Linked DNA regions of Struthio camelus. The protein of the gene in region 2 interacts with the protein of the main gene of each other region in a pairwise test. Links are inferred from orthologs where the notes say so. Each region holds a gene or a part of one and is shown on either strand. Other genes may lie near its edges. The genes, in order: ANKRD24, PACSIN1, JADE2 and COBL.

Evidence for each region.
Region 1: the proteins of PACSIN1 (region 2) and ANKRD24 interact in a two-hybrid assay, tested with the Homo sapiens proteins (2 studies listed by BioGRID and IntAct). The link is inferred for Struthio camelus from reciprocal best matches to the Homo sapiens genes PACSIN1 and ANKRD24.
Region 3: the proteins of PACSIN1 (region 2) and JADE2 interact in a two-hybrid assay, tested with the Homo sapiens proteins (2 studies listed by BioGRID and IntAct). The link is inferred for Struthio camelus from reciprocal best matches to the Homo sapiens genes PACSIN1 and JADE2.
Region 4: the proteins of PACSIN1 (region 2) and COBL interact in binary tests that used the Homo sapiens proteins (3 or more experiments, as listed by UniProt). The link is inferred for Struthio camelus from reciprocal best matches to the Homo sapiens genes PACSIN1 and COBL.

Annotation. Positions count from the first base shown.
Region 1 is NC_090967.1:4,375,342-4,382,712, reverse strand, and holds the start of ANKRD24 (ankyrin repeat domain-containing protein 24), read right to left. Parts: upstream 3,005-7,371; 5' UTR 2,946-3,004; coding exon 2,877-2,945; intron 1,817-2,876; coding exon 1,686-1,816; intron 1,538-1,685; coding exon 1,449-1,537; intron 1,018-1,448; coding exon 953-1,017; intron 638-952; coding exon 580-637; intron 503-579; coding exon 432-502; intron 209-431; coding exon 102-208; intron 26-101; coding exon 1-25. Other genes in the region: SIRT6 (NAD-dependent protein deacylase sirtuin-6), read left to right, coding at 4,860-4,925, 6,218-6,345, 6,722-6,904. UniProt on the Homo sapiens protein: Component of the stereocilia rootlet in hair cells of inner ear.
Region 2 is NC_090965.1:5,558,979-5,566,349, forward strand, and holds the start of PACSIN1 (protein kinase C and casein kinase substrate in neurons protein 1), read right to left. Parts: upstream 3,001-7,371; 5' UTR 2,855-3,000; intron 1-2,854. UniProt on the Homo sapiens protein: Plays a role in the reorganization of the microtubule cytoskeleton via its interaction with MAPT; this decreases microtubule stability and inhibits MAPT-induced microtubule polymerization.
Region 3 is NC_090954.1:4,001,363-4,009,347, forward strand, and holds the start of JADE2 (E3 ubiquitin-protein ligase Jade-2), read left to right. Parts: upstream 1-4,976; 5' UTR 4,977-5,067; intron 5,068-5,200; 5' UTR 5,201-5,277; intron 5,278-5,527; exon of another isoform or gene 5,528-6,038; intron 6,039-7,985. UniProt on the Homo sapiens protein: Scaffold subunit of some HBO1 complexes, which have a histone H4 acetyltransferase activity. Acts as an E3 ubiquitin-protein ligase mediating the ubiquitination and subsequent proteasomal degradation of target protein histone demethylase KDM1A.
Region 4 is NC_090943.1:65,991,872-65,999,483, forward strand, and holds the start of COBL (protein cordon-bleu), read right to left. Parts: upstream 3,004-7,612; 5' UTR 2,762-3,003; coding exon 2,718-2,761; intron 1-2,717.

The DNA.
Region 1 (7,371 bases), on a different chromosome or scaffold from region 2:
CTCGCAGGCCAGCATCAAGGCTGTTCTGGAGAGCCACGAGAGGAGAGGTGAGGGGTCCGGTCCGCTCCGTCGGCCCCCCGTCCCCTTCGGGGGGGACTCACCTCCCTTGCAGGTCCCGGCTGTTCACGGCCGCTCCACGGTGCAGCAGGTACCGGCACAGCTCTGAGTGGCTCATCTTGGCAGCAAGGATCAGCGGCGTGAAGCCATCCTGGGCAGGGGCAGTGTGTTTTCACAGCAGCACCCCAGGGACCCCAGGTGCTGCCAGCAGTTAGCTGCTGTGTCCCACCCCAGAAGTGGCCACATTTCAGAGGCAGCCTCAGCCTGGCCCTTGGCTGCTCTACGCAGCAGCATCACCTGGCCCAGTAGAGTTTAATCACTGCCGGAGGACTTGACCTCCATACAACAGCAGGTGCTGAGCAGAGGGATCTCACCTTGTCCTTGATGTTCAATGGAGCCTTGAAATCGCAGAGGATCTCCGAGCACGAGATGCAGCCGCTGACAGCTGGGGAGAAGGACAGAGGCTGAGTATTGACTCCTGCAGGGATGCGAGCAGGATGGGGTGGCACCGTCCCCACTCACCTGCGTGGTGCAGTGCCGTCCGGCCGCTGCCATCAGGCACGTCCACGGGGCAGGAGGCCTGAGGGAGAGGGCCTGGGTTACAGGAGAATGGGGTGGATTGCCTGAGGGGCCAGGACTGTGGGGCACTTTGAGCTCCTTGGTGGTGGAAGAGCATCATCACCAGCCCCAAACCACATGGTGCTGGCCAGAGCCAGGCACCACCATGCCGACCAACGCCACTGCAGAGGGATGGGAGCGTGGCCATCCCAGGGATGCAGGGAGGACGAGGCAGGTTGGGCCTGGCTGTGCCCTTGGAGCAAGGGGCCGAGTCGGGCATGGCACAGGGCATGGCACCCTGCCTCCCTCGCGGCGCCGTGCACCCAGGCCCCATTACCTGCAGCAGCTTGCTGACACATTGCGGGTGGCCATGCTTGGATGCCAAGTGCAGGGCAGTGTAACCTGGGGAGAGGGACACAGACAGGTTACGGTCAGACGGACAGGGCGGTGGCAGACGGATGGGTTGGGGGACAGACAGACAAGCACACAGGCGGTCATCCCCTACCCTCTGCCCCGGGAGCTCTGGGGAACATCATGAGGTGGCTCAGGGCGCCAGGAAAGCCCAGCACCCTGCAGGGCTGGGGCTGAGCAGGGACGAGGCACCCCTGGGAACACCATGGGCCAGGGTTCAGGTGCCTGTTGGCGGCTAGGACCCTCCTTGAGCATTGATTTACAGCCCATGTGGCCATCACCTCTGTCTCCACAGCCTTGGCACCTGCCGGTCGGGTAGGAAGGACTGGGGAGTGTCAGGGGCCCAAGGCGGTCCACAGCATTACCCGGAGAGGAAAAGAGGGGGGACGAGGGAAGCTGGGTGCGGTGGCCATGCCCCTCACCTGAGCTGTCCTTGGTCATGGCATCCACGCCGTGGGCCAGCATGGCTTCGAGGCAGTCCACGTTCCCCCGCATGGCGGCCAGGTGGAACCTGCAGCAAGGCCCAGGGCCATCAGCCCCATGTCCCCAACCCCCGGCAAGCCCCGAGGAGCAGCGCTGGGTGGCTCAGGGGACCAGGAGAGCCCAGCAGCCTGCGCCAGGGCGGACACAGGGACAGGAGGATACAGGTCAGTACTCACGCGGATTTGCCCTCCAAGTCCAACTTGGTGGCGACCAGCCCCTTGCGGACGAGGAGCGACGTCACCCTCCCGGCATCGTTGTAATCCACAGCTTGCAGGAGCTTCTCATCGTTCTTGGTCCAGTCCTGGCTCTGCAATGAAACCGAGACGGGGCCGTGATGGGTGTTTGGACCCTGGAGACAGGCAGGGTGCTGGGCTGGGCTTGTGTCCCTGTCCTCATCCCCATCCCTGCTATCCCATCCCATGCCCTAGGGTGGCCATCTCCGGGCCAACTCCTTTGCCAGGTGCCATCTGGCCCCTCTATAAGGAGGGTTTAGCTGCCTGGCATGGGGGTCCCCAAGTTTTCAGCCCAGGGATTTACAGAGCTGTCCCAGTTTCACTGTGCCCAGATCGGGCCGGGATTCAGGAATGACCTGCTGCTGCCCCATCACCCTGCCCCAGGGCTTGCTGCTGCTGCTCCGCCGACCCCGCTGCTAAACACAGCCAGCAGCCACAGCTGCTTGAGCCCCCACCTTGCCCAGGCTCTCCCCAACCTCCACGCACCTCGCCCCGGCCCCACGGCCACCCCTTTTTGCTGCCCGCCAGGGATGGGGCCGAGCCAGGGCAGGGCAGTGAAAACGGGTCCCCGGGGACACCTCCAGCCCCCGTTGGCGCGTGGGACACGAGGACACCCCCTGCTCCTGCCCAGGATCGGGTCCGGATGGGGGCCGGCGGAGCGACCTGCAGCAGGACGGGACGGGGCTGGGACGAGCCCGGGAAGCCCCGGGTTCACACCGCAGCCTGCGGCCGCAAACCAAAGCTAGGCTGCGGCCGGGGGAGACAGGAAATGGATGTCACCTTTCGGAGCTGCTCGCATCCTGCCCATCGCCAGCCCGGTGCCCAGTGCCTGGCACGGGGCTTGTGCCACAGCCCCCTCCCCAATAACCCCACAACTCCCCTGACCCTGCGGAGCTGGAGGACCGTGTCCCAGGGCGGGGAATAAAGCAGTCTCCTGGGGTTACTGGGCAAACTGGGAGTGCAATCCCCCCCCCCTCCAACCCTTGCCGTGCAAGGACAAAGCAGCTCGGAGAGGACGCAGCCAAGTCCCGGGGATAGAAGGGGCCTGGGGCAGGTGAGGTGGGGGGGTGACACAGCCATCCCCAGAGGACGGGGACCGAAGGGGACCGGGGACGGGGGGGGGCAGGGACGTACCGCAAAGGAGGCAGCGGCACAGAGGCAGATCTGCTTCATGGTGTCGAGGAGGAGGCGGCGGGCGGCCATGCATCCCTCGCCCCCCGCCTGGGCGAGGGCCAGCCGGGCCGGCCGCGGACCCCAGCTGGCTCCAGCACCGCCGCCCGGGCGGGGGGCCGGGTCCTGCCGCAGTGGGAGCTGGGACCCGCCTCCCTCCATCCCTCCGTCCCTCCTTCCTTCCCTCCCTCCTCATCACCGGGAGCTCGAGGCATCCCCGCATCCCTGCGGATGGAGCGAGGACCACAGCAGGACCGAGCGTCCAGGGCTGGTCCCAGTTAGACTGGGAGGGACTGGGGTGGGGGGGGGGAGGTCAGCTCCCCCAGGGCGAGGCAGTGGGGCACCCCCAAATCAAGGACGGGAGCATCCTCCTGGCACCCAGACCCTGCCCTGGAAGGAGGGGCACAGCCCCCCCCCCAAACTGGGGTGGAAACGCAGGTCCCAGCCGAAGCGGGGGCCGCGCTGGGACAGGCTGCGGCCGTGGCCCCAACCGTTGGGGAAGGAAGATGGAAACCCGGCCGGGGAAGGGCAGAGCTGCGGAGAAGGGCCCCCCCCCGGATAGGGGCAGTTTAGGGGGGCAGCAGCGGCCCGTTCAGCCCTCCCCGCTGCCGCAGCGCCCAGAGGAGCCGGGCAGGTGGGGAAACCGAGGCACGGGGCATCCCCGGGCCAGGCAGCTCCCCAGACCCCAGGGAGGGGGCCACGCTTCGGCGTTTAACCCGCACCAAAACGAGCTCGAGCAGGGCCACGTCCCCCCCCCCCCCAGCACCTCCGCGGGCACCGGGGACGGCACCGTCACCCCCGGCAGGGTGGCAGCTGCCCTCCCCGCTCCCCGGCCCGGCGGCGGACCGCCGCGCGGCGCTGAATTATTGATGAGTATCGACGAGTGCCGTCACCGAGGTGGGAACCCGATGGCCAGCTCCGGAAACCTGGCAGCCCTCCCGGGCACCCCAGAGCCGGCAGGCGGGACCCTCTCGCCCGACGGCGTTTCCCCCCTCCGTCGGGGACCCCCTTCCCCCCCCCCCCCCCCCACGGACCGCACTCACGTCCGACTTCTTGAACTTGGCCTTGAGGCTCTTCATGGCGGCTCGACCCTCCGGCCCGCCGTGCCTAGACGAGGGAGACGGCGGCGCCGTGAGGGTCCCCGTCACCCCAGAGGTGGTGGCGGGGGGGGGGGGGGGACACGTGCGTGCGCCTCCTCGACGCCCTGCTCCCCCCCCCAGCAGCCGCCCCCCAAAACCAGGCCCGCGTGGGGTCCCGCCGGCCGCCCCCCCCCACCGTCTCCCACCGGCGCCCGCAGACCCTTCCTCACCCCGCGGCCGCCCCGCCGCTGAGCCACCCCGGCGCTTCGTGGCCGGCCGGCGGGCGCCGGGGGGGACCCAGGCGCCGCGGGGGAGTTGGGTTACGGCGGCTCCGGTTACACCTGCCCGCGCCGAGCGGGGCCCCCCGAGCCCGTTCGGGGCCTCCCTGAGGGCGGCAGCGGGTGCCCCCTTTTGCCACCCGTGGGGTGATGTGGGGCAGCCCCCGAAACGCCCCGGGGAAGGCGGTGGCGGCGTGACCCGAGGCAGAGGGGGCCTGGGGGGGGTGGATGGAGCCCTGCAGGGCTGGGACCCCACATCCCTCCCCAAGGGTTGGGGGCGGTGTGGGGCAGGGCTGGGCCCAGGCCTCGTCCCTGCCTGGCACCCCCCGCCCAGCGCCTGTGTCCGGGCCGGGTTTTGGGGGGGGGGGCAGGAATTAGGCTGGAGCAGAGGAAGGGCAAGGGAAGGGCAGGTGCTTTCCCTGCCAGGCACCAATATGGCGGCGCCGCCCTCGCCTTCCCTCCCCACCGGCCCTGCCTTGCGCATGCGCCCCGCGCCCCGCGGCTTCATTGCGCGCTTCCGCCCTTCCGCGGGCATTGACAACAATGAAAACTTTATTGGTGCGCGGCGGGCGGCGCGGCCGGGCCGGGCCATGGCGGTGAACTACGCGGCCGGGCTCTCGCCGTACTCGGACAAGGGCAAGTGCGGCCTCCCCGAGGTGAGCGAGGCGCCGCGGGGCCTGCCTGGCCCGGCCCCGGCCCACCCCACCCCTTGTCCCCCCCTGTCTCCCGGGTGGGGCCTCCACGCTCCCCCCGGTGCCCCCCAGCGGCGGCCCCGGCCCAGCCGTGTCCGTCCCCCCAGCCCCACGGGCCCCCTCCGTGGCTCCCCCCCCCCCAGCTCCATGGTCTTCCAGCCCTATGGCTCTCCCCCCGCCCTCCAGGCCCAGCCCCACGGACCCCCTTTTGCCCCCCGGCCCAGCCCTGTGGCTCCCCTTTGTACCCCCCCCCCAAGCCCAGCCCCGCGCCCCTCTTTTTGCCCCCCCAGCAGGGATCCCCAAGCCTATGTGTCCCTTAGCAGGGATTGCACCCCCCCTGCCCCATGTTCCCCCTCAACCGGACCCCATTTGTGTTGCCCCCCACCCCCAGCAGAGACTCTCCCAGTGCCATAGTGCTGCCCTTGTGCCTCCCCCGAGCCCAATCCGTGACCCCCCCCCTCCCAGCAGAGACCCCAGTGCCCCCTCAGGGTCCCCCCTTTTTCAGGGCAGGCCCTCGCCCGCTGTGGGGCCTGTCCCAGGCATAGCTGGGGGGGGGGGGATCCCAACCTCGCGGCCCAACAGGGCACAGCAGCGCTCGAGAAGCTTAGAAGAGGTCTAGGGGGACGGGGACGCGCAGGGGCGTCCTGAGCCCGCCTTGGAGCGCGGGGACGGGACGTCCTCCTCAGCCCGTGTCCTCAGGGGACCAGGCTGGAGGAGCAGCCCGCAGAAATGCAACTCTGCGTCCGTAACGGTCGCCCGTGCCAGAAGGCAGGATGGTCCCGCAAACCCATCCAGCTACAGTGGCTCTGCCTCTTCCATCTCCATGGCCACCCTCTTCTTCCGCTGTGGCTCGCTGGCCCCGAGCCCTGTCGAGCCCGCGGCTCTGCTGGGGAACGGTGCCGGGGATCAGTGCACCTGGGCTGGCCCCGGGGTCGCTCCCTTCCTCCTGCTGCTCCACTGTGCCCTTGATCCAAGATGCTTCTGTGGGTATCAGGTACCCGTTGGCAAGAGCATTAAATACCCTCTTCTGCATAAGGCTTTTTTAAGCCCCTATACTACATGGGGACAGTTTGTACAATGCTGTTTCTCTCCAGTTAGATGCTTTTATCGTTAAGCAATGAGAAATCTTATTTCCCACCTGCAGTTTTCATTGTGGATAAGAAAGAACAGTTTACTGGGTGTGTGTGCCTGCTGCGGGGGTGCGTAGCACCCACCACTGGGTCTCTCAGTTCCTGCTGTGGTTTGTTTCTTCTCAGATTTTTGATCCTCCGGAGGAGCTGGAGAGGAAAGTGCGTGAACTGGCAGATTTGATAAGGAGTTCCTCGAACGTGGTGTTTCACACAGGGGCTGGAATCAGTACTGCCTCAGGGATTCCCGACTTCAGGTAAGGATGGTGGGTAAGGGAGCAGGACAGCAAGTGAGGGGTGGAAGGAGTAGCACCTCCTCGTGGGCCATTGCACTTCTCGCAAAGCTCTGGACTGTGCTCCCTGCCGCCCCTTCCTGCCTGCAGCAAGACCTGGTCCTGTAACCAGCCACCACTCAGCAGACACTACCCTTTCCCTCTTGCAAGTCGCTGCTTGACATTAAGCTGTACCTGCAGAAGCCCCATGTGTGTTCTCCTTCATCAAGGTCAGAGATCCCTGGTAACGGGTGACCTTCATTTAGCAGAGTCTTGCTCTTACTCTGTTGATAGTGCTCGTGATGCATTCACAAGCATCTTAGAGTCTGTGATCATCACTTTTCTGTCTGCTCTGCCACAGGGGGCCAAATGGTGTCTGGACTATGGAAGAGAAGGGGCTCTCCCCAAAATTTGACACCACCTTTGAGAATGCCAGGCCCTCCAAGACTCACATGGCACTGCTGGGGCTGCAGAGAGTCGGCATCCTCAAGTTCCTGGTCAGCCAGAACGTGGACGGCCTTCACGTCCGTTCGGGATTCCCACGGTACTGCTTCTCCCGCCTTGCTTCTGGGTCCCCTGTGCCTGCCCCAGCCCCAGCCACTGTTGTGTGGCTGTTCTTGCTGCCCAGTTAGGGTGGTCGCATGTGCAAACTCTTGCCAATGCTCCTAACAAAATGGGCCAGCTAATTTTCTCTTGATGCTGGGGCCTGAATGCTCTGCTTCCAAGAAATGTCCAGCTTGGAAGCTGTCTGCCCACTGATACAAGCGGGGAAACCGGAATGCATTGGTGGGGGAAGGGGATGTAAACCAGCTTGAATTCAGAGAAGAGAGGTTGTGGCAATAATCTGAGGGGTAATGAAATGAAATCAGCCTCAGGTGATGCTTTTCAGTAGTGCACCCAGCCAGGTGCCAAGGGTGCTCACAAGCAGAACAGGCAGACAGTGCTGTTGGGCTGTAGCAGGTTACCTACCGCCTGTCAGCTGAGCTGCAGCAGCAGACTGCGCAGCCAAGC
Region 2 (7,371 bases):
CCCGCTGAATCGGGCTCCTCGCCCCCCTTGCAGCCGCTGTGCCCTGGGGTTGGTTTTGCCACCCGGCACGTTTGGCAGAAGGAGCCACCTACCAGACCTGGCAAAGGCGGAGCAGAGACTTTTTGGGAAGAAGATTTGACGCCCCGACGGGCGATTCGTCTGCTGATGCCCCGAGCGGCGGGCAGCGCGCCGCAGGCCGCCGAGCCGGCACAGGGCCGGAGCGGGGACGTCCCGGCGGGCCGAGGGCAGCCCCCTGCCTTGCGGCTGCCTCTCTCGGTTGGCTGCAGCGCTTCGGCGTTGCAAAATCACCTCGGCTACAATTCCTGCAAAACGCCGGGTGATTTTCGCCTTTTGGTGCTTCAGGCCGTTAGACTCTCCGGCAAGAAAGCGGAGACGGGAGACTAATTGGGCAGCGGCGCCCTGACAAACGCCTCGGGGAGCTCTGCAGTCCTTGGGTGGCGCGAGCTGGCAGGTCTCAGCCGCCGCTCTCTGCACCGCCGCCTGCTGCGCGGGGGCATCAGGACGCGGAGGGGCGACCGCTCTGAGCATCGGGGCTCGGACGAGCTGAGCCACATCTCTTTGCCTGGCAGGCTCGCTCGCAGCTGGGGAGCCGCGTCTGCCCGGCTGCCGAGCTGGCGCTGGGCTCACGGGACGAGAGCCAGCCGCTTCTCCCCCAAAACCGCTTCCCCGACACGCTTTTCCCCCGGCTTTCACTATCCCACGGGTTACTATTTCCCCTCCTGCAAAATCAGCGCCCGCGTGGGAAGCAACAACCGACGCCGGCAGGAAACGAGGCCTGATTTAGGGGGCCGCTCGGCGGTCTACGATGACGCTTCTGCCAGCAGCGCGGCAAGGCGCTTCCCTCCCAGAGGAGCGCAGCAGAAGCGTCGCGGCGGCCGGAGGGGCCGAGAGGGGTCCCCGGCCGGCCCCCAGCCTTCCCGCTGCCGAGCTTCGCCCCCGCCGGCCGTGGGAAGCCAGGCGCGGGGCTATTTTGCATCTCTAATTAGCGGCGGCAGCGGCGGGCGAGCGCAGTCCTGCAGAAAGCGAGCCATTGTGCAGGGCCCCCCCCGCCGGCGCGGCGCAGGTGCCGCCACAAACCCGGCTCCCACCCAAACAATCCCCTTTTTGTCCGCTAACCGCCGGCCCCGGGGGTATCGTCGGAGCCCTTCCGGGGAAGGGGCAGGGGCCGCGCCACAAAGGCTCCATTTTCCCCTGGGAAAGCAGCTCGCGGCGCAGGGCGGAGAGGCGCCGAGGTATCGCCCCGGCCGGCCGGGCCCCGGCGGCACCTCGCTGTCCCCCGGCGCCTGCAGAGCTGCAGCAGCCACCCGGCTCGCTCCTAGGCCTCGCACAAACGTCGGGCGGGCCGGCCGCCTGGCGAGGGGACAAAGTCTCCCCGCGCGGGGCCAGCGCTGTTGGCAACGCCGCTGCCCCGGCAGGAGGAGCGGGAAGGACCTGCTCCGGGCTCCGCAGCAGAGGGACCGTCCTCGTGCTCGGGCGCGGGACCGACGGCCCCCGGGGGCTGCAGGGCCAGGCCGGCAGCAGCATCGCCGGGATCCCTGCAGCCGCTCGGAGCCGCCGGCGCTCGAGCTCCGAGGGTAGCGCGGAGGGTCGAGGCGGCTCGGAGAGGCGGCGGGAAGCGCCGGCTCTAATCCGTTTAGCAAAGCGCTTGCTTGGCCGTTCCCAAGGCGGGTGCAAGAGTGGTGCCGCGGGGCTGGCGGCTGCGGTGGGAATGGGGGGACGAGCCCGGCAAGAGGAGCCGTTTCGCCCCGGGGGGTGGCCGCAGTTAGGGCAGCATCTCCGGCTCTGCCCCCGCGACGTTTTGGCTGCCTCCCCCTGCCTCCCGGCTGTGCAAAGCGACAGCAAAGCCCCGACGGAGATGCCACCAGGCTGCCGGCCCCGCGCGCCCCGGCTGCACCAGCCTCCGGCTCGGCTGCCCCTCCGCAGCGCCGGGGCCCCCCGAAACCGGCCGGCGCGAGCCCTGCGCCCCTCGGGGCGTCCCCAGCAGCACGTGCGCACGGACCCCCTCCACCCCCTCCTGCGGGTGCAAAGCGGCCAGGAAGGATGGTGAAGCTCCCCCAGACCTTCTCATCTCGGCTCTCCGAGCCCCTCCGGAGCTCAGCCCCCGCCGCAGGTCGTCCCCTCTCGGAGACCCCGAGGAACCCCCCCACTCCCCCCCGGCGGCCCCCGCGGTGCTGGCCCAAGGCAGAGCCGTGCCGGGGCCGGGGCGCTGCCAGGGCCCTGCCGGAGGCTGGCACCCACCGGGGGGCCGGGGTCCCTCCGGGGGACGGATCAGCGTTTGGCCAACGTGTCCAGAGGGCGCTGGGGATGGGGGTTTGGGGCAGGGGGGCAGGATGCTGCGGCAGGCGACGCCGGAGAGGGATCAGGGAGGGGGCGCGAGGGGCGCGGGGGCTAGGCACGGCGGGGCACGCCGAGGGCTGGCGCTGCCCCCGCCGCGGGACCGCGAGGAGCCGGCTCGGCCCGCAGCAGCGCCTGGGAAGGGGGCCACGGCCCTTGGAAGGCCGCGCCGGGGTCCGGGCGCGGGACGCGGCGCTGCCCGCCGGCCGGGCGAGACGGCGCCGCCGGGGCGGCGGGGAGACGAGCGCAGCGGTCAGCTCGCTCGGCGCCGACGGCCACGACATCTGCGGGCCGTTCGGGCCCCGTTTTCGGCTTCCAGCTCTGTGTCATAGGTTCACGGAAAGCTTTAGGGACCCGGCTTCGGAGGGGGCCAGCTGGCGGGCTCCCAGCAGCGGGCCCTGCCCCCCGCCCCGGGGCCACCCGCTGCCTGCCGGCACCCCGGCCGCCCGTCGTCGCCTGCCCCGACCCCCCCGGGCGCCCGGGGACGGCGTGCCGGTACCTGCGCGGAGAGGCTGCGGGGACCATGGGCAGCGGCGAGGGGCGCCCACCGGGGTGGCCCGGGCGCCCGGGCAGCTGGCAGGCAAGGCCGGTTGGCTCCGTCTCGCTCCGGCTGGCGCTGCACATTGGAAGGAAGGTCACAGCAGATGGGGAGGAGGGGGGTAAAGATCAGCACGGAGATTAGAGAGGCATTTTTAGCCAGCCAATCGCCGCCCCGGCTCGGCGCAATGACTCCTTCGCAGCGCAAGGTGAAAACATTACTGCAGAAGCAGCAAGGAATAAGCCTGGAGCCCGGCTTGGCCTGGCCAGGCGGAGGCAGCTGTGGCGTCCCGCTGCCTATACCCCCCGGCTCGTCTCTCCTTCATTTCCTTGCTCTTTTTTTTTTTCCCCCCTTGCAAGCTTTTATTTGCAGCCTCCTTCCCTGCTCCTCTCCCTCTGCTCTCCTAGCCAGCCCCTGGCACCCCGGGGCTGATTTGGGGGGTCCCCGCACTGCAAAGCCCCGCGGGGTCCAGCCGGGGCAGTTTGCAGGGCACAGCAGCCCTCTCCCCGCTGCCGCCCGCGGGAGCCCGGCCCCGGCTCTGGCATTTCCATCTCCGAATCAGGCAGGAGGAGCGCCGGCGTGGGAGAGGAGGACGCCGCGGCGCCCCGGGGCGCCTGGACGCCGTCCCCGGCGGGCGGCCGTGCTTGGCCCACAGGGCAGCGCGGGCAGTGCCGGGGGCGAAGGCAGCAGGTCGCCCTAGGAGGGACGAGCCGCTTGCAGCGAGCGCAGGTGCACGGCGGCTCCGTGCCTGCATCGGGTACGAAAGCACTGTGTTTCGCCGGACCTGCTTCAAGGAAAAAAAAAGGAAGGTTTTTTTTTTTTCCTCCGAAGCGCAGCCAGCTGCTCTCAGCTCCTCCTAACGACAGAAGGGCCCCGAGCCCGGAGGTGCGCAGAGCAGGTTTCTCTCCAGCACGTGTTGGAGTCCAGGGAGGTTGCGCTCCTTGGAGCAAGGTGCAGGAAACAGCCAGTCTGGCACTGCCCAGCTTCTGGGTCAGCCTGTCCCAAGCGTTTGCGGGTCGCAAAAGCCGCGCGGCACCCAGCGGACGCACAGAGCCCGAATCGCAGTGTGAACGCGCCGACACCGTGGGGAGCTCTGCAGGCTCCTTGCAGCGGTGCCGGGAGCCCGCAGCAGGAGCCGGGAGGGAGGCAAGCGCTGTGCCCCGCTGCTTTCTGCTGCTCCGCGGGGTCTGATCAGCTCCATGTCAGCCCAAAGCGACAGGGAGGCAGGGGTCCGGCGGCACAACGGGGAGTGGGTAGACGTACATACACACGCAGATGGAAAGATAAAAGGCAAGCGTGCCCTGTGCTGCAACCAGTGCAGGACGGGAAGGAAAAGACCTTTTCCTTATTCCTGCCCCAGTCAAAAAATTACAGGGGCTGAGCCTTTCACGGAAAGGGCCTCGTCCCGTCCTGCTGAAGATGCGAAAGGACCAGAGAGGATAGAGAAGAGGATGCGGCGTCTCCACCCCGTCCCAGGGACGGCTCAGTGCCGGTGCAGAGGTTGCCGAGCTGGGCTGCGGGTGGCCCAGCTGCCCTCAGATCTCCTGGCTGGGGTAATCCGGGGTGCAAAAGGGTCTTTGCACGCCTTCAACAAGCCCCAAGCCCTTTGCTCGAGCACGTGAGCCAGGTCAGGGAGCAGCGGCAGCTCTCCTCGGCAGACCTGCGTGTGCGTCCCACGTTTTCCCCACACCTGCAAGACCCATCCTGCCCCCAGGATCCCAGCCAGGGCTTTACAGCCCGGCTCCAAAGGGCATCGCAGGTGTGTCGCTTCCTCCTCACCTTCGGCTCTTCCCTGCACCACCTGCAGGAAACAGCAGGGCTTATTGCAAGCGCAGGGCCACCGCAGGCCTTCCCGCAGCGATGCTGTGATGCAGTGCTAGGCACCATCCCGGGCTTGCCGGGACGGCAGTGGCTGTCCTGCAGTCAGAGCAGACAAGCAAGAGCTTGGAGATTCCCCAGGAGGTGTGCGCATCGGGTGCTCCCCTTGCCTGCCTTGCTCTCTCCTCCCTGTGAAAAGAGGCAACGCTCCGCTCCGCTCCGTCGGCTGTCTGTGCTCAGGAACACCTGCAGAGGGCTTGGGGATGCTCGCGCGGACAGCATCTCGCCTACGCTGAGGGGTGGTTTGCGATTCGCTGCGGCGCTGCCTTCCCTGCTAAAACCTATTCTTGCTGGCTTCCCCTCGCGGCTTCCCCGTCCCAGCGCTGCCCTTGTTCCTGCTGCCGTTTCGCTCCCAGGACCGATGGCAAAAGCAGCCGAGCCAACGCCGAGAGCGTCTGGAGACCCCGGCGCCGCGCCGGGCGGACGCGATAGGGATGTCTGCGTGCGGGGCAGGGGCGGCGGGGCAGGGACCCGCGGCCAGCGCCCTGGCCGGAGCGGGGCTGGCAACGCGCCCCCAGGACGCTAATCCCCGCCAGGGTGTGCAGGATGATCCCAGCAATCTGCCTCCACCGTGAGAAAAGGAGTCGGCACTGCAAATCCCATCAGGCCCAGACACGTGTGACCGCGGGGGTCCCCGTGGGCCAAGCTGAAGAAGGAAAAGGTGCCGCTTCTTTTCGGATGCCGCAGCAGAAACACGTAGCAGCATGCGGAGCTGCCACGCACCGTCGTTCCTCCCTGACCTGATTTAAAAACGGTGATTTGAGGGTTTTCCCAAACTCTTGAGATGTCAAAACGCTCTGCGGAGACCCACGGGCTGCATTTTACGGGGTCCAGCAGCCGCTGGGACGTGAAGCTTCGTGCTTGTTGCTTTCCGGGGCCGGGGTTGCCAGGGCTGGGAGAGCAGCGCCAGGCCCTGCGGGCGGCATCGCTAGCAGCCGCTGGGAAAGGGACCCTCGTGATGGCATTTCCCACGCACGGGCTGCTGCCGGGGGAAGGCGAGCGAGCCGCGACGCAGCTGGTCTCCAAGGCCCTTTCCGGGCCGGAGCTGCTCGGCGGGAAGGTCCTCGCCGCGAGGCAGCGCGCCGGCGTGCACCGTCTGGCGAGGCAGCAGCTGGCCGGTGCGAGGACCTGGGGGCAGCAGCCCCCCCCCAAGGCACGGGCTGTATTTCTTTACTTGCTCGATGAAATATTTAAAGGCTCCGTTAAATGAAGCCCTGCCTGGTTTTGCTGGGGAAGAGCTGTTTCTGTGCCGGGAGGCTCTTCGCTCGGGCACCCCGCGGAGGGGGATCAGAAAACTTCCCGCAGCCCTATATCCAGGGCAGGTTTTTGAGGAGGGAGATTTGGGAAGACGAAAAAGGGGGCAAGCCCCTGACCGCCCCGGCTGCCCCCTCGCGCCAGCGGGCTGTGGGGGATCCCCGGGTAAGGCGGCGGTGGAGAGACGGCGATCAGGATTTGGGGCGTTTGGCGCAGATTTGGAGGAGGGGGGAGCGGGGGCGGCTCGCCCACGCTGGCATCGCCCGCGAGCCTGCGTCCGTCCGGCCCTGGCGCGCCGGGCACGGCTCGTCATCCGGATAACAGCAGCTCCCTCTAGCGCTGCTGCCGGCCCCGGGTGGCCAGCCTGCGCGGGGACGCGCGCCCCGGGTTTCTCCAGCCGGCAGACCTGAGGGCAGCCGGGGCACCCGTGGCCTTGCCCGCTCCATGCACTGAGCGCCCCAGGCCTCTGCTGCCCAGCGTGCGGGGCCGAGCGGGGCCCTGCGAAGCGCAGAGGGGACGGACGTCCCCTCCCTCTGCCGGTGCCTGGCTCTGCTTCCTAGAGCAATAACGGGATAACGGGCCGGGATAACGAGCTGGGATAACGCGCTGCCTTCCTGCCAGCCACCTCCGCCCCTTCTCTGTCGCGGCGACCTGAGGCCTGGAGGCAGGCGGCCGCTCCGCTGCCCGGGGGCGACAAGCGCAGGCCGAGCCCAGGGCTTCGCCGCCGCCGCCGCCGCCGCGCTCCTCTCTCCTCGTTTCACGTGGAGGAAATCGGCGCACCCGTTATCGGGACGGGACGGCGGCTGGCGAAGCCGGGGCAGGCGGGGAACATCAGAAACGCCCTCCTGTGCCAACGCGCCCCCAGCTCTGCCCCCCCCCCGCCCCAAATGCACAAAACGCCGGTTTGGCCCCCAAAAGAGGAGTGCGGTTCGCTCCACGCGGGCTAGGCCTCGCGCCGTGCTGCCCTCTGGGCGTCAGGGGCGAAGGGAGGAAGGGCTGGGGAACGCGGGGGGATCGCGTGGGGCAGCGTGGCGGGGAGGGCCCGGGGGAGCAGGCGGCTCTCCGCGGCCAAACCGGCCCCGCGGGAAGGGGGCGCGTTTCCAAACAGGCACCGCCGCGGACACCCCGCTGCCCGGCGCGGCGGGGGCCTCGGCGCGCCTCCCTCAGGCACCGCCGCGGCCACCCGCCGCGCCGGGGGGGCCTTTCGGAGGCCGGAAGCCGGCGCTCTGCGCATGCGCCCTCCTTTCCGCTCTCGGGCCCGCCGCCGCCGCCACGGTGAGGCCGCGCTCCGGGCTCGCATCGGCCTCGGTTCGGCGCCATCCCGGGGCGGCGCTGCGGGGCCGCCG
Region 3 (7,985 bases), on a different chromosome or scaffold from region 2:
TCGCAACGCTTGCTTTCAGGCGTCGCAGCTGCTCCTAGCGCAGCTCGCCGCACGGGATTCGCCCGTAAAAGTCAAATTTCCCGACGCTGAAGCTCGAGACAGCCCACGGCGCCGCGTTACCCGCCCTGCCGCCAGCTATATTTCATTTGGAAAGCGTGACGTGTCTACGGGAGGGGAAGAGGGGGATCGAACCGGGCAAGCCGGGACCTGCAGCGGTGCCCGCGGGCTGCGGCCAGGGCACGGGCAGCGAGACCAGGGCTCCCGTCGCAGCAGCGCCGCTCGCCACTCGCGCTTCCTATTTCCCCAGATCCGTTTTACTCCTGAGGGCCCTTCGAAAGCCACAGCTAGGTCAACGGGGGGGATGCGCGCTGCACCCGGTGCGCTCCGTGATCGACTTGAACGTGCAGAAAACGGAGAAGCAAACCGACAGGAGGAGTCTTGAAACCCGGCAGGAGCCCGAGCCGGCCGGTGGGCGCCTCCACGCCGAACCGCTCGGGGCTGCGCTCCTCAGGGCAACCCCGTCGGAGAGAGAGGGATTGCCATTTCTCGGAAAAATATGACAGCAGCTGCTGCGCAGAGAGAACTGTGCAGGTGCCTGTCGAGGGATGGCCATTTGTAACGCCAACAGCTTATTTTTTGTTTGTTTGTTTGTTTGCAGTTTATTTTGATACCAAATTTCTAGCTACGGAAGGTAATTGAGATTTCCAACAAAATCTCACCAGCCACTGATCTGCCAAATCAAATCTTCTCCTGTAAGTATCGTATTTTTCCCTCGCTTCAGAGGGGAAAAGGGCTGTGCAGAACGCCTGAGAAACAAACAGGATTCGTTTGTGTAGTGATGTAGTCATTCATTCCAGGAGATGGGAATGATTATTATTATAATTTAGAACAGAGCTTGTCCTTTTTTCCTGCTACTGCATCTGCTTACTATTCTCCAAATTAACACCTGTCTCAATAGAAGTCAAATTTCACGATTACCGCTGAATATTGGACCGCCCTATCTGGGATACGGAGGCAAAAAGATTTCCAGCATCTTTGCGCTGCCCTCCTGGATTGGCTGAGCGCTGACCTGGTCCTTGGTTTTAATTAAAGTAGCCATGAGATGCCTTTGACTTCTTCCATCTACCAGAGGCCTCAGAAGAGGGTCCTGAAGGCCGTAAATCAGCAGGCAAATTTTCAGGTTGCATGGTGCTTCTGAAATTCCCCATCAGAGGGTCGCCGCTCCGCCGGCGCCCAGGCTCCCCGCTCCGGGAGCACGGAGAAATCCCAGCGGAAAGGGGGTGCGCCGCGCTCCAGGATCGTTCACTTGGAGTAAACGTCCTCCCAGCTTCCGGCTGGCTAACGTTACTAAATGGATCGTTTCTAAAGCGCTTGACTTGAAAGGACATTGAATTTTCATTATATTTGGGGATCGCTCGCGCTCCCTTGGATCCGTCCCATTCTTGCGCCTGGCGCTAATCGATACCACGCTAATCAAATCTGATGACAACCGGGCGACTGGGTTTTCTTCTTTTCCTCTCCTGTGAGATCGGTCGACATTGAGATTTTTTTGTCCGTAGTCAAGGCTTGTTGACAAGGTTTATTAACTCTAAGTGTTGTGAGATGCACTGTTCTGTACACTCATCCTCGAGGCTGCGTTAGCAATTTTGCAATCATTGATATTTGGCGAGCCAATTCCCCCGTAAAAATCAATGTATTTACATCTAGTTATACTAGCGCTGCGTTTCTTCCAAAGTGTATTAGCAGGCATGAAACACGAGCAGTATAAGCAGCAGTCTCACGGCACTTTGGGGGACTCCTTTTCAGTGCCTGAATTTAACGCTGGAGCTCATACAAAGCTCATAAAGGCTAAGCCCATCATGTAAAAACAGCTGTTAATTCTAATTATGTGCTCATCATCCAAAGGTTACCTGTTTTATTCTTCTAGGTATGCAAAAATAAGCACTGGTGAATGAAGATGAAAGGAAAATGTTGCTGGTTTCTTCCCCGGAGATCATATTTCTTACTTGTTGCATAACTGCTTATTTTAGCATCAATCAGCTGAGCCTTTGTTGTGTAGACAATTCTGTCCTTTTAGAGGATTTGTGCAGCGCTATTTCTTCCAAAATGCTTTTTTGTTTTCACTATTCGATTTATTTCTTCTCTTAGCAAATGCCAACTGACAACACCCTGTCAGAGCTCCTCATAATTGTTACATAAATGTCTTACTATGTAAACTGAATAGCGTATATTTAATATACATGACCCTTCTGTAGAACCATCCATCAAGTGTATTGTAGGTATGCGTTACATATTTGCGTTTGTATACATATTTTGTATAAATGTGCATATATGGTAGCCAAAAATCTGTTAAACGCATGATCAGTGCGGCAAAGGAAAGTACCTACAATTAAGAAAAGGCGGAATTGTGATTGCCAGTGCAGCTTCATAAATGCCCTTTTGTGGAAGCAGAATAAGATTTTAACTGCATGATCAGGTAGTATTTTTCTTCTATACCTCTACCTCGCGCAGCCATGAGATGGCCAGAGAGGTGCTCATCAATGCTGTTTTGTTCCTGTGGTCCTACATGCGATCCTAGGCCTTAGTTGAGCACATCATTCACGCTCCCTGGCTACTTTTGACATTCACAGCCACAGAAAATACAGCTCTGACCCTTGTGGGGGCAATTTCCAAATCAGAACTAGGCGCTCGTGTTCTCGATAGCAAAAGCGCAGTGAGTTGGTGCCTAGGATGCTGCGGAGGTATCGTGCGCGGCCGCTCTGCACCGAGGAGCTGACCTGCCTGGGTCTGGACGTGCTGCGGCCCCTTCACAGGTACCGTCCAGAAGTCCCGCAGAAGGGGCAGGAGACTCGTAAGGCTGCGGAGCGGTAGAGCACCACAGCAGAGAAGGTGGCAGCTTCCTCTGAAGACACAGTTACTACTTTCCTCGCGAGTTTTTCTACGGTACTTTCCACGACGCTGCATCCGCGCTTGGGCACCTTAATTAATCCTCCCAAAACGCTCGTTCTGGGTCAGGGTGACACGCAGACGGATTAAGGTCAGAAGTTCCGGCTAATTTCGGGTGCTCTGTCCGGGAAGCGTAACGTCTGCTTTTTCAGAGCATTTATCATGATACAGCACTTTGCACATGCAAGCGCAGCACCCGCTGCTTCCAGCCGTAGTTGTAAGATGGATGTCAGCAAATTGGGCTAAAGCTCTCCAGCTAAACACCCACAACGCGGGAAATACAGTCATCAGTGTCCAAAAAGTTGCGTTTAATGACTCTGTTAGGGAAGTCTGTGGCAAAGGCAAGGAGAGAATCCAGTTCTCCAGGGCAGTTTCATCCTGTCTTCCCTGCGAGACACCGTTCGCGTCCCGCAGCCCTTGCTTCACTCCATGGACAGTGTTTGGCTCCGCAGGTGAGACAGGGATCCGGCAGAAACGTGTTTCCTTTTTGGCTTGCCCGCGCAGCAGGTCCAGCACATGCAGGTGCCGAGGGAGAAAGAGATCGTGACGGCGAAATGAAGAACTGCATTAGAAAACGTATGTATCGTAGGTCTAAATAAATTTAGACAGAAAGCCTCCACTTGGAGGTTTCCTAAGTTCTGACTGCTTAACGCGGTAGCGCAGTGTGCGTGCGGAGGTCTACCGGGCTGGGCAGGGAAAACCGCAGCGTGCCGAGCGGCGGGGCCAGGGCTGCTGGCGGTGCCCCCCGCCGCGGCGCTGCACTAGCAGGGGACAGAAATAGCACGTGGGCTCAGCGCTTGGGAGTCCCACCATTCCTGTGCTATCAGCAGAGCTTTTTTTCTTTGCTTTCTTTCTTTCTTTCTTTTTTTTTTTTCCCAAACTAACAGCTAAAGTTTCTTATTCTTCTCTGGGGCCGCTCTCCAGAGAAGAGCCTCCCCGGAGAAGATGACAACATCTTATTTCTAAATGGGAACTGCTCCCAAATCCCTCTTCCCAAACTCGCCCTCTTTCTTCAGCTCCTGCCTGGCCTGGCACCGCCGAGAGCTGCGCCCGCACGAGGTCCCGAGCACCCTCGGCTTTCGGCAGCGGCGGGCCGCGTCCGCAGGGAACAGATTTGCCAAGGAATCAGCAGCTGGAATCGGGCATGTTTTTACCCCGCGCTGGGAGCTGCTGCTTTTCGAGGACTAGTAAGACGTCTAACTCGGGTGGGTTTATCTAAAGGCTGCCTCAGGGCAAGTTTCAAGACCCTATTTCCACCTACACAGTCCTAAAAATAAATAAATACATAAATAGAAACCCCAAGAATGAGCAAAGCAAATTTCCCCCCCCTTCTTATGTCTTCGTTCTTGGAAGAGCCAAAGGATTTTGAGTAGAGTTTTCAGAAAATGTGCAGCACAGGCTCCCAAAACAGCAAGTTTTAGCCTAATTCATTAAAGTTTGGCAAATTAGGTAGGGAGCCGAAACGGAGGTGTACACTGGGGAATACTGGACTACCTTAGTTATCGGTGGTGGTCCTTGCTGTCCCTTTCGTCATTCCCAGTGTTTTTCACAATCAGTGAGTTTCGGAGCTAACCAAATCCCAGAGATCATAACAGGCTGCGACTGACAGACTGTCTCTAAACTGAATTTTAATATTCGGCAGCAGGGGGTTAAAATCGTGCAAAGCAACTGGTGCAAGGCGCTGCGCGGCGGGGCCTGGGCAAGGCGCAGCCCCGTCCGCCCGGGCGTTACGTTTCATGTGCCCAAAGGCTCCGCTCGGGGCGGCCGCGCTGCTCCTGCCGCCGCCGCCGCCTGCAGCCGCCCCCGGGGCAGGGGCTGCGCCGCCGCCGCCGCCCGCGCAGCCGGCTCCGCCGCGGCGGGCGGGGGGCTGCGCGGACGCTCCGCCGAGCGCCGGGCAGGGAGGGAGGCGGCCGGGCCGCGGGGAGGCGCGCGCCACAGCGCGGAGCGGCGCGGAAGCTGCGCGGGCGCCCCGGCGGCTGTTCCCACGCCGCCCGGCCCGCGCCCGCGCAAGTTTGCCGCCGGGGGGGGGGGGCGGCGCCGCCGCCCCCCGGCCCGCCCGCCGCGCCGCTCCGCGATGGGCAAGAAACGTCTTTTTGACGCAGGAGAAATGGCAAATTTTAAGTACGTCATTAATATGGCGCCAAAAGGTTGTGTGTGTGTGTGTGTGTGTGTGTGTGAGTGAGTGAGTGTTTTTTTTTTTTTTAAGTATAAGCTTATTCTTTTTTTTTCTTTTTTTCTTTTTTTTTTTTTTAAGGTTGCAGCAGCAGCCCAGTCTACGCCTGTGCGTAGCTCGGAGGAGAGAGGGGGAGTGAAGCGGAGGGGGGAGAGGAGGTAAAGTGCGAGTGTGTGTGTGTGTGTGTGTGTGTGTGTGTGTGCGCGCGTGCGTGCGCAGGGCTCGCTGCGCGGCGCCCGCGGAGCGGCGCGGGGCGCGGGCCGCGCCGTGGGGCGGCGGCGCGGGGGGCGCTGAGCGCGCCCGGCCGCGATGGGGCCCGCGCGCGCCGCACCTGGCCCGGCCGCTGCGCGCCCGCGGGAGGCGGCGAGCCGCAAAGCGAGGCGCTGAAGGGAGATTTGGGAGGCGCGGCGGCGGCGGGGAAGGGGTGGGTGGGTGGCTGGGGGGGGGGGGGAAGAAACGGAGCGATACCACCATTATCCGTAACCGCTCCAAAAAGTCGCCTCTCCGCCTGCCCTCGCCGGCCAAGCGGCGCGGCGCGGCGCGGCGCGGCTCGGCGTTGTTGCGAGGAGCTCCCGAGGAAGTGCGCGCTGAAAAAGAAACAGAAAGGCGCAGGCAGGGCTCGCCGGATTGTGCCCGGAGCGGCCATCTCGGCTGGAAGCGAGCGCCGGGGGCTTTGCATCCATGGAGTTACTTTGTGGCCGCTCCTGAAAAGGAAGGGCCCCCCTCCCCTTACACCCCCCCCCCGCTACACCCCCCTCCTCCCCGGGCCGCCGGGCCCCGGCAATGACACCGGATTGAGCCGGGCCAGGGGCGCTCAGCCCCGGGGAGGCTGCGGAGCATCCCCGCCCCCTCCGCCGTCCTCCCCTCCCGTCACCCCAGAGACAGTCGCAACTCTTTTGAGGACACGCTCCTGGCAAAGGTAAAGGATGAGCGGGGCTTCGGGGAGGGGGGAGGGGGGGGACAAGGTTGGGGGGGGGGAATCGGTTGATTTTTTTTTTTTTTTTTTTGCAGCGGATCGTTATTTTGCAGCTCCCCCTGGGTTTTATTTATTTATTTATTTATTTATTTATTTATTGGATTTTTTTTTTTTTTCCTCCCGGCCCCGTCCTCGCCGGGGCCGGCTGCGAGGCGGGGGGATGTGCGGCGTTTGCCAGCGGCGGGTTGCGCATGTTGGTCACTCTTGTTTTAAAGTGTACGAGGGAGGCAGCGGGAATGTAAACAAGAACTTTTAAAGGGTCGCCGGGCAGCCTGGCTGGGCGGGTTTGGGTTTTTGTTGTTGTTGCTGTTGTTGTTGGGTTTTTTTAAATACATATTTCCCAAATTAATGACTGCGGCAGAGGCTGCCCCGCGCCGGCCGCCGTGCCCGGCCCGCGGGCGGGGGGCGCGCAACGCGCGGGCCCTTTCGGCGAGGTGCCGGCGGAAGATGCGCGGCAGCGGGCGCCTTGAGGGGCTTGCGCAGCGCGCTTGGGAGCGGGGCGGGCGCTGCGCGGCGGCGGGGCCGGGGCGGCGGGGCGCTGCGCGGCCGCGGGCCGGTGCGCGGGGCCGGGCGGCGGCGGGGGCGTGGCGGCTGCGCGCCGCTGCCCTGCGGCCTCCGCTCCGCGCCTTCTGCTCGCTGCTCGCCCCGCCGCCTCCTTCCCCCCCACCCCCTCCCCGGAGCTTCCGCGCTACGCGGCCGCGCAGCCCCGCGCAGGCCGCCTCCCCTCCTACCTCGGCCGGCCCTAAAAATACCGCGGCCCTGCCGGGGGCGTCCTGCCGGGAGCGGCTCTGCCTCCGCGCCGCGCAGAGCCGCGCAGAGCCGCGCGGGCCCGGCCGCCCCCCTGGCGCTGCGCCCCCGCGCGGGCCGGGCCGAGCCGGCGCCGCGCTGCGCTGCGCTGCGCAGCGCGGCGGAGAGCTGCCCCCGCCCGGCCGCGCCGCGCCGCTCCGCGCCGCCCAGGAGGCGGCAACGACGTGCGAGCTGGCGGATGCTGCAAGGGCAGAAAGGCTGAGTTTTGCCCAGCTCAGGTGCTGCTCGGGGCAAGGTCTCCCGGGCTGCAGATGCTGGCAGCCTTCGGGCTGGGAAGGGAAAGCGGCCCCTGGCCGTGCACATCCCCCGCAGCCCTCCCTCGGTTAGTTAGTTTTGAACCCCGACCCTCGCCGTGAGGCTTCTTGTGAGAAAGGGGGGGATTTTACTTGGGGAAAAATCAGTGATCTCGGGCTTTCTGCCTGGGGTGAGGAGCCTCGCTCTCGGGAATGGTGGTTGACCTTTAAGCGTTTATTGGCTGCTGAGGTTAAAATAAGCTTGAGATGGAAGCAGAAATAGCTTGTAGAAAGGTTACATCAAAGGTTAGGTTTGTTTTTCCTAGGAAAACTTGAGGCTGATTCCTAAAAATCAAGGCTTGGAGCAAAGGAGGGGCAAGTATGCGAACCCTGAAGGCTTCTGGGCAGGGAGATGACATTAGCGTATCGGTGGCTGCTGGCAGCGTTCGACAGCACGTTCTGCAAGTTGGGGGAGACGTGAGCCTCCAACTTCAATAGGGACCGATCTGGGTTTCCCTAGGTATTCCCTGCCGAGGGCCCATAGCTGCCGTTGCTTTCGGGCGCAGCTGCGGCTGCTGGCGGAGCTGCGGGACGGCGCAGGTGACGCCTCCTGCGCCCAGGCTGGCAGGAGGCAGGGCTGTCCCCGAGGGCCCGGCTTCCCTGGTCCTGCCTCACGCAGGTCCCGGCTGGTTGAGGAGAAAGTGGGCGACGAGAGGGTAAAAGCTAAACAAGTCAGAAAGGGAAAGTAAAGTCATAAATATGAGTAATAAAGAAAAAAATCCCCTTCTAGGTTTGGAAAAAATGCAAAGCACCGGAAGTAAACCGGGGCTCGTTTTGTTTTAAATTTCAG
Region 4 (7,612 bases), on a different chromosome or scaffold from region 2:
AAACAGTGTATTTCTCTCTTCTAGCACCTGTTGCACAATTACAGAAGAAGAAATTCTCACTTCTGGTGCTGCTGCTGCTTTTCTTAACTTCACCGTCATCATCTAAAATTAATGTTAGATGCTCCATAAAGCTTTACAAAACTCATGCCTAGCAATCAGTAATAACAACATTATCGGTAGCCAAATCTAAACTATTTTTTAAATTAAGAAATGGGAAAAACCCTGTAGCACCAAGACAAATTACATTTTTTCCTTTGCTATTTAAACAAAAAACCCCAGTATCCTGCTTTTAAATGTGCAGTTGTCAAGCAGCTGTGCCATGAAATACACGTTGTCAGATTATCTGCATAAGACACACAGCAGAACTGTTCTACTCCGTACCAAATGACACATCAAATTTGTTCACTGTTTAACAAAGGAAACCTGTAACAGAGCTATTAATGATTTACATAGAGACAAAACAGCTCTGCCTAAATTTTGTAAAAAATGTTTAAAGCCACAGTCATTTTAACCTCTTCCTTTCATAACTGCAAGCTAACCCAATCAATAAGCTAGAAACTCATACAGCATTTCTTCTCCCATACAAGGGATATACTTGTGCCAGAGCCCCTTAAATTAAACGCTCCCCTGACATGCTCCATAGGTGCAGTTCACTTTTGGATTCACAAGGGAACTAACAGGAATAGGCAAAGCTGTCTCCCTGCCACATTGTACTGGTCCTAGTGGATTTCTTCACTGAATGAGTAAAACCTAGCTAGGAACCAAATATCCACCCCGTTTCCAGTGCTAAGGCTAGTAATTTAGGGAAGTTAGAACTGTTCCAGCAAAAACCATCACCAACAGCATGGCCACAGCCAGACTGAGAGCTCTGAAATTCCAAGAAAAAGCAACAGTATTTCAGCTCTTAACTGAATTAAGATGAAACATACAGTCATTCCTTGTTAATGTATACGACAGCTTTGCAGTCAGCTTCAGCAGGCGCAGATTAGCACCCATGTTCTGTACTATACGTGATCCCCGGCACCTCTAACCTTAAGACCAAGTTCTCCTCCTTGTGCCAGGTCAGAAACAAAGTGACTGAACCTCATGCTGCTGCTCTAATTTCTCTTCATTTACATAGTAGAGAGCCTGGCCATGCAATCCACTTTAAACTGATAAAACTGCCTAAACTGACATCGTGGACCTTTGGTTAATAAAGCCCCCGGAACTTCAGTGAATCTCTCAGAATTGTACCAGTTTTCATTTTGGAAAAACATTAATAATATGGACTCTTGTTCAAAATTTAAAACTCTGTAATGAATCTTTTGACATCTAGCAATCAAGACAGGTTTTTAAATCAACATTACATTTGAGAAGTATAGTTATACCTCAAAACACATGTAAATTTGCATCCCTCATCTCTTCTTCATCAGAATTCTGGAGAACAGCTACGTTAAGAAATCAAATCTTTTTAAGTACATACATTGCTTCTCTTTAAAAGGTTAATTTAAAAAGTCATAATCGAATAGACTGATTATCAGAGATTAACCATCTTACAACAAAGCCCCAAGCTATATTATGCTCTGCAAGTCAAAGAAATAACTGTTCACGTGGAGTTTTTACTCATACAGCACTAGCAGTGACATTTCCCTTCATCCATCACTCCCTGTTCTGACCAACCTTCCAGTTACACATTGGAAGACCTCCCACGAAACACAGAAATGAAGGAAATTAAACAGAGCAAGTCTACACAGTTTATCAACACGGACTTTAAAACTTTCCCATGTAGTCGGCAATGAATTTATGACATAAAAACTATAACTAAAAGCAAAGCAGAAAAGCTTCTGAACCAACTACGTTCTTTCCCAATACGTGCAGACAGTGTGAAGTAGAGCAGTAAATTGCGACGAGTAGACACTGCAACTCTTAAGACTTGCCCAGCTTCTACTCGGACAAAAGAGACCACTTAGGACTTGACGCGTGTGCAGCTCTGGGTGCTTAATTAGTGGCCTACCTAATTTGCTGCTTTACAGTCCGCATTTATTTATTCTCTTTAAGAACCCCAAAGCCACATATGGTTAATACTCGGGTTGACTACGCCGGGTCCGTTATAGCTGTTAAATAGGTGCAGGACACCAAAAGGCACTAGAAACTCTGACCAGCAGCCGACCTGCGTGCCCACGGCCACAGCAAGCGTGCAGGGGCGGCGGAGGGGTAGTTTAGCGCTCGGCAGGAATCTCCAGATGTCAGAGGAGCCTGCCCAGCACCGCAGTTTACTAAGTTTTAACAAAATTTTGGCATTATTGACAAGCCTTGTCAGATTTTTTTTTTTTTAATTTCTTTCCCCCCTCCTTTACCACGACTGGGCAATGGGGGTAAGGAACTGAGGGCTGAATAAAAACCTTCCAAAGGCTTTTGGCAGCTGCCCGTGAGCACACAGACGGGAGGGGGCACACGTACGAGGAGCCGCGGCCGCCGGCGGCCCCAGCGCCGCTCGGCGCTGCGCAGCCGCGGGGAGCCACCGCCCCCGCGAAACAGAAAAAAAACAACAACAACAACAACAACCCAAACCCCGCACTTTTCCAAGCGGTTTCCAAGCTGTGCCCTTCTCCCCGCCCGGCGCACCCTGCCCTGGCCGCGCCGCCGCCCCGCTCCGCCGGCAGCAGCGCCCTCGCGGCCCGCCGGGCACCGCACCGCACCGCAGCCCTGCGCAGCGCAGCGCGGTCCGGACGCCTTACCCGCTGGGGGGCTTGCCGGCCCCCGGGTGCACCAGCGTCTCCATGGGCGGCCGCCTGCCGCCGCGCACGGTCCCGCTGGGCGAGCGGGGCCAAGGTCGGAGGGAGATGGGGGGGGCGGGGAATTAAAAAAAAAAAAAAAGGGGGAAAAAAGAAGAAAATGATTAAGAAGCGGCTTCTTTCCCTCTCTCCGGTCGCACCTCGCTTGTCCTCCGGCCGCGCCGCCTCCCGCAGGGCGGCAAGGCAGCAGCGGGCGGCAGCGCGGCGCTCCGCGCACACCGCCACCGCCGCCGGGCGAGGACGGACCCGCCGCCAAACCCGGGCCGGGCCGGACCCTCCTACCTGGGGGAGGGCGCGGGGAGGGGCGGCGCGGCGCGGCGCGGCGGTGCCCCCGCGCAGCCCCCGCGCAGGCGGAGGTGGCCGTGGCCACCTCTGCGGCAGCCGCCGCCCTGCCCTGCCCGAAGCAGCCTTTCCACCAGCTCCGCAGGAAGGGCGACGCCGCCGGCTCCCACAGAAAGCGCCTTGCTTTTATTTTTGTATAAAATACTTTATATGCATCGCAATATTGCATATTTTTCGCTTTTTCTTGGTGGCAGCGGAAACAGCTCATTTAAAATTAGTAGACGGCTTCAGTCAGGAGAGCCGCTGGAAGGTCCTTGGTGAGGAATCGGACATGGCACGGACTGGCCCCGAGATGCGCCCACTGAGTGGGCTGAGCCGGGGCACCTGGTGCGGAGCCGCTGCTTGGTGCCCGGCTGCCCAGCACACCCTTCGTGGCGATGCCGGTGGCACTTAAGCATCGTAATAGGCTATTTCAGGAATACTTACCTCGTGCCCTCTTACCCTAGGAGAGCAACCATTGCGTGGAAGGAGAAGCCTGGCTTAGGTGACTGCGGTGCATGCCCGCTCTCTGGGGTGATCCGTTTTGGGCCTTTCTGGTCTCTCCCGGGTGTTTCAGGAGTTTCTCTGCCCCAAGCCTCCCCTTCACTTCCCAGCCGTGGTGGGAGGGCAGGAAAGAGCTGGGACAGGCCACCAGCAAAAGCAGGACGCAGGAGATGAGAACAAGCAGTCTGAGCAGACCGACAGTGAGAAACTCCAGTGAACGGCTGTGAGCAGCAAAGGGGAGCGATTCCTGACAAACCTTTTCCCCCAGCTGCGCCAGTGACAGTCCCACAGGCTATCCTGTCAATCAATGGTCACCCCTTTCCCCAAGCTCTTCCCTCCCTTCAGCTCGCATCTGCGCCACTTCTGCCCATCCGACAGTGCCTCGCTCAGCCGAGCGTCCTGCATGAATGCAGGCAACTTCTCTGGCCCAAAAAGCGAGAGAAAGTTTCTTCTTCCTCAGGGAGCAAGGCTTGGTAAACCTATGTCAGCAGCTGCATGGAAACGATGGCATTGCTATCTGCAAGAAAATGCTGCCCCAGGCAGATCATAAATCCTTGGAAACATTTAGACACTGGATTAATGTGCTAATAATAGAAAGGAAAAAAACGTTCATTTTTTCTGTATTGCATGAATGGAAGATTTCAGTAAACCCCCACCTTCTTCTGTCTTGTACCAAGGCTTCTGCATTCTAATCACAGTATCTGTTTTTGTGCATCTATCTCTGTGTATAACAAAACGATTTATTGTAATATAGTCACCCTTAATTTCATCTCCTCTCACTTTGATGATTTTAGATCTCTCCCCTTAATTCCTGGCTCTTCTTCCCAGCAGAAGGTTAAGAAGCTGTTTTCTGTTCCCCCTTCTCCGTACCTGTCCTGTCAACGTGTATGCAGAGGGCCCAATGGTAAGAGAGGCAGCTGACTCCCCCAGCCATAGTTAGAGGAACAGAAACACAAATTTGCAAAAATGAAACATCATTGATCCTTAATTTCCCTGTTTAAGTTGGTTGAAGTGACCAATATACATTGATTCAGTCACCATGCTTTGATAGTTACCCCGGTCATCTGAGCTATAGTAATGAACTACATGCATGTCCTTAATTTGCCTCATTATGAAAAGAAATAGGCTACTTTACATGGGTATTTTGCAGGTGGAGTGGATTCAGAGAATGCACGCTGTCAGTCACAAGGAATTGTTACGGTGAGTCGTTATCTGTTAAACTGTGGTAACTGGCTTTCATAGCTCTGTTCATCATTTGCTTACCTTTACATCTCCCTTTTCTCCTCCTAAACCTAAATGTACTCTTTCCTATCCTAGAATATATGCTAAGGCTGCATGGGCACAAAACGCATACAGGAGCCCCAGGCCTTCCCATGTCTACATCATACCTACGCTGCTCCATTTATTTCAAAAACCTGAAATAACTTCCTCTGTCTCAAGAGTGATTTCTGTTACACTGTGATACACCTGCATGCCAGTATTTCCTCACTCCAAAGGTGTGTTGGGCCTTCCTGCCACCCACTTCTCTCTACTCCCATCTGCGCCGCTCAGACCCACCCTGCTGCCCTGTAAGGGACTCTCACCGCTACTGATCTCTTTTGCTCTTACTTCATGGAGCAACCACCTCACTATCTTCCCTGCACATCTGTAGCTCTGCTGATGTTCCAGTTTTCCTCACCCTCTCCTATTTCACATCAGTGAACACATTTTCTGTTTGATACCATCTTCTTTCTGTAGGCATATAAAGGCTGTCACAACAAGGCGCGAACCAGTAAACGATGGTATCAGCTTCTTATGTTCACTTCATTTTGTACAGCACAGCAAAAGAGTGAAAACCTATTAATCACTGAAATCATCGTCTTAATACCTCTCTAGAGGGCTAGGAAGAGCAGCACAGGTTGTCCGTAGCCAAAATCCTGCAGTCGTGGTTAGCCAGCTGAGGGTCCAAGCGGAGTACGTAGAGCCGCTCTTTGCAGTACGACCTGGGTATTTGCCTTTTGCCAGGCAACTTGGTACCTGGCCCAATTCTCAAAAGGAGCCAAGGGAGCGATTCTACTGTGCACTGTAATTTCCACAAGCGGGAGGCTGTGCTAATTTTTTAGGCATTGGGCATTAGCCCTGAGAGGGGCTGTACAAGTATTTGCAAATCTCATAAAACGTCTACGAGATTGAGTATATGCAATCCCAGCCCGGACCGGCTTTTTAACCTTCTCCTGTCCATACAGTTTCATGACTAATCATCTCCATTTAGATGACGTCCTCAATATATTTCCTAAGACTGTTAAGGCATTTTGATGATAACATCTCTGCTATGAAATACCTATGAAATACCTTAGCCTTGCTATGAAATACCTTACAAAATGATACTTTATTAAACAGCAATGCAACTTCATGTTTCCACTCTTATCCAGTCTTCAAAACATGATTCCTATTTTTCTTGACCTTCACTGCTAATTATATTACGGAGTAAAAGCTTTAAGACTTCATTCTTTTTCAGATAAAACTGGCCTGCCATGTTTAAGGAATTTTAGTTTACAGTATAAACCTAACTGAATATGTAAGGAATCTAGTAAGACAAGTATAATAGGAATGAATTTTTTTTTTCTAATGTAGCAAAAAGAGGTTGACGTTAGGTCAGGATTAGCTAATATACACCAGTTATCCAAGACTTTTTCTCGAATCTAGCACAGTTTATATCTTTTGCTACAACTTAGCTGCTTGAGGATCATCCTAGAATTTGAAGCCAGGTTTTAGCCTAAGAATAAGAATAAGAAAAGATTGTGAATAGAAGTTAGCTAATGTGGGCAATTTTAGTTAATAGCAAATACACATTTTTGCCACCTAAACTCAACTCTTTTTTCCACTCCAAGCAATCTGAAAGTTGCAGTTTAAGCCTTATATAAGAGTACTCTCTTATTTGCTATACAACTGCAGAATTCCTGACTATGTAACAACTGGAGCTGTGTAGCCTCAAGCTCATGAAATTCCTTTATTTTTCTATCTGCAGGAAAAATGGAAGGGAAATTAAACTTCCTGGGCTTCTCAGACCCTCGAGTCCCAGAACCACCCTTCTCCAACAAGCTGTTTGGGGATTTAGCCCTATAGGTCCAATTGGTTTTATTGGGAACTTAAAATAGCCACGAGCAAATTACATTGATTTTACAGAAGCCTGTCAAAACCCAAATAAAACGGACACAAAATTTTTTGAACAAATATTAAGTCATCGCTAGTCTATACGATACTAGTGTGACATTATCGAAAACCGAGAGGCTGAATTTGCTTTAGAAAGACACAGTCATTTAATGCCTAGAGGCACTCCAGGGGGAACTGGGATATGCAAATTGGCCTTGGCTCTGTCCATAGTCATGCAGCAAATCACTGACAAGTGTCTGGTACATCTTTTGTTTCTCTTACTTGTCTAGCGCCGTGCCTAGGAGCCTCATTTATGATTCAATACCAAAGTGTACCACATTCAGGAGAGAACAAAAACTAGTTCCTGCTCTGAGAATCCAAGGAACAGCAGTCTTATTTCTCTATATGGTTTTGGAGTTTTAGTCTAACAAGTCTACGATGTAATTGGGTCTCCCAAGGAAGAGAGGAAGAACGAATAAAGGTAGTAAATCATATGACGACACGTCAAAGAAGCCATCTGAACAAACGCAGGGATATGGACATAGGTTTTATATTTTATATTATGTAGCTACAGCCAGGATCATTTGTATTACTTCTGAGTTATCAGATAATCACCTACTGTGTATGTAGAAATACTCAAGTTTGCCCTTTGTCTTTAGTTATCTCTAGACCTATTCTGTCCGGAAAGGTAGGTCCTTTCAGAGAACCTTCTTCTTTTATCTCCTGAAACTTAACTGAAGTTGGTCAAGAGTTTGGAGGGCATTAAACACCTGGAAGAAGGAACTGGGAGTGTGCACAATTGCTTGCTTGATGCAAAAGGCTGGAGAGCCCTTCCCAGCCTTTGCTTGGAAAAAGCTGTTGAGGAAACCTCTGCTCGACCA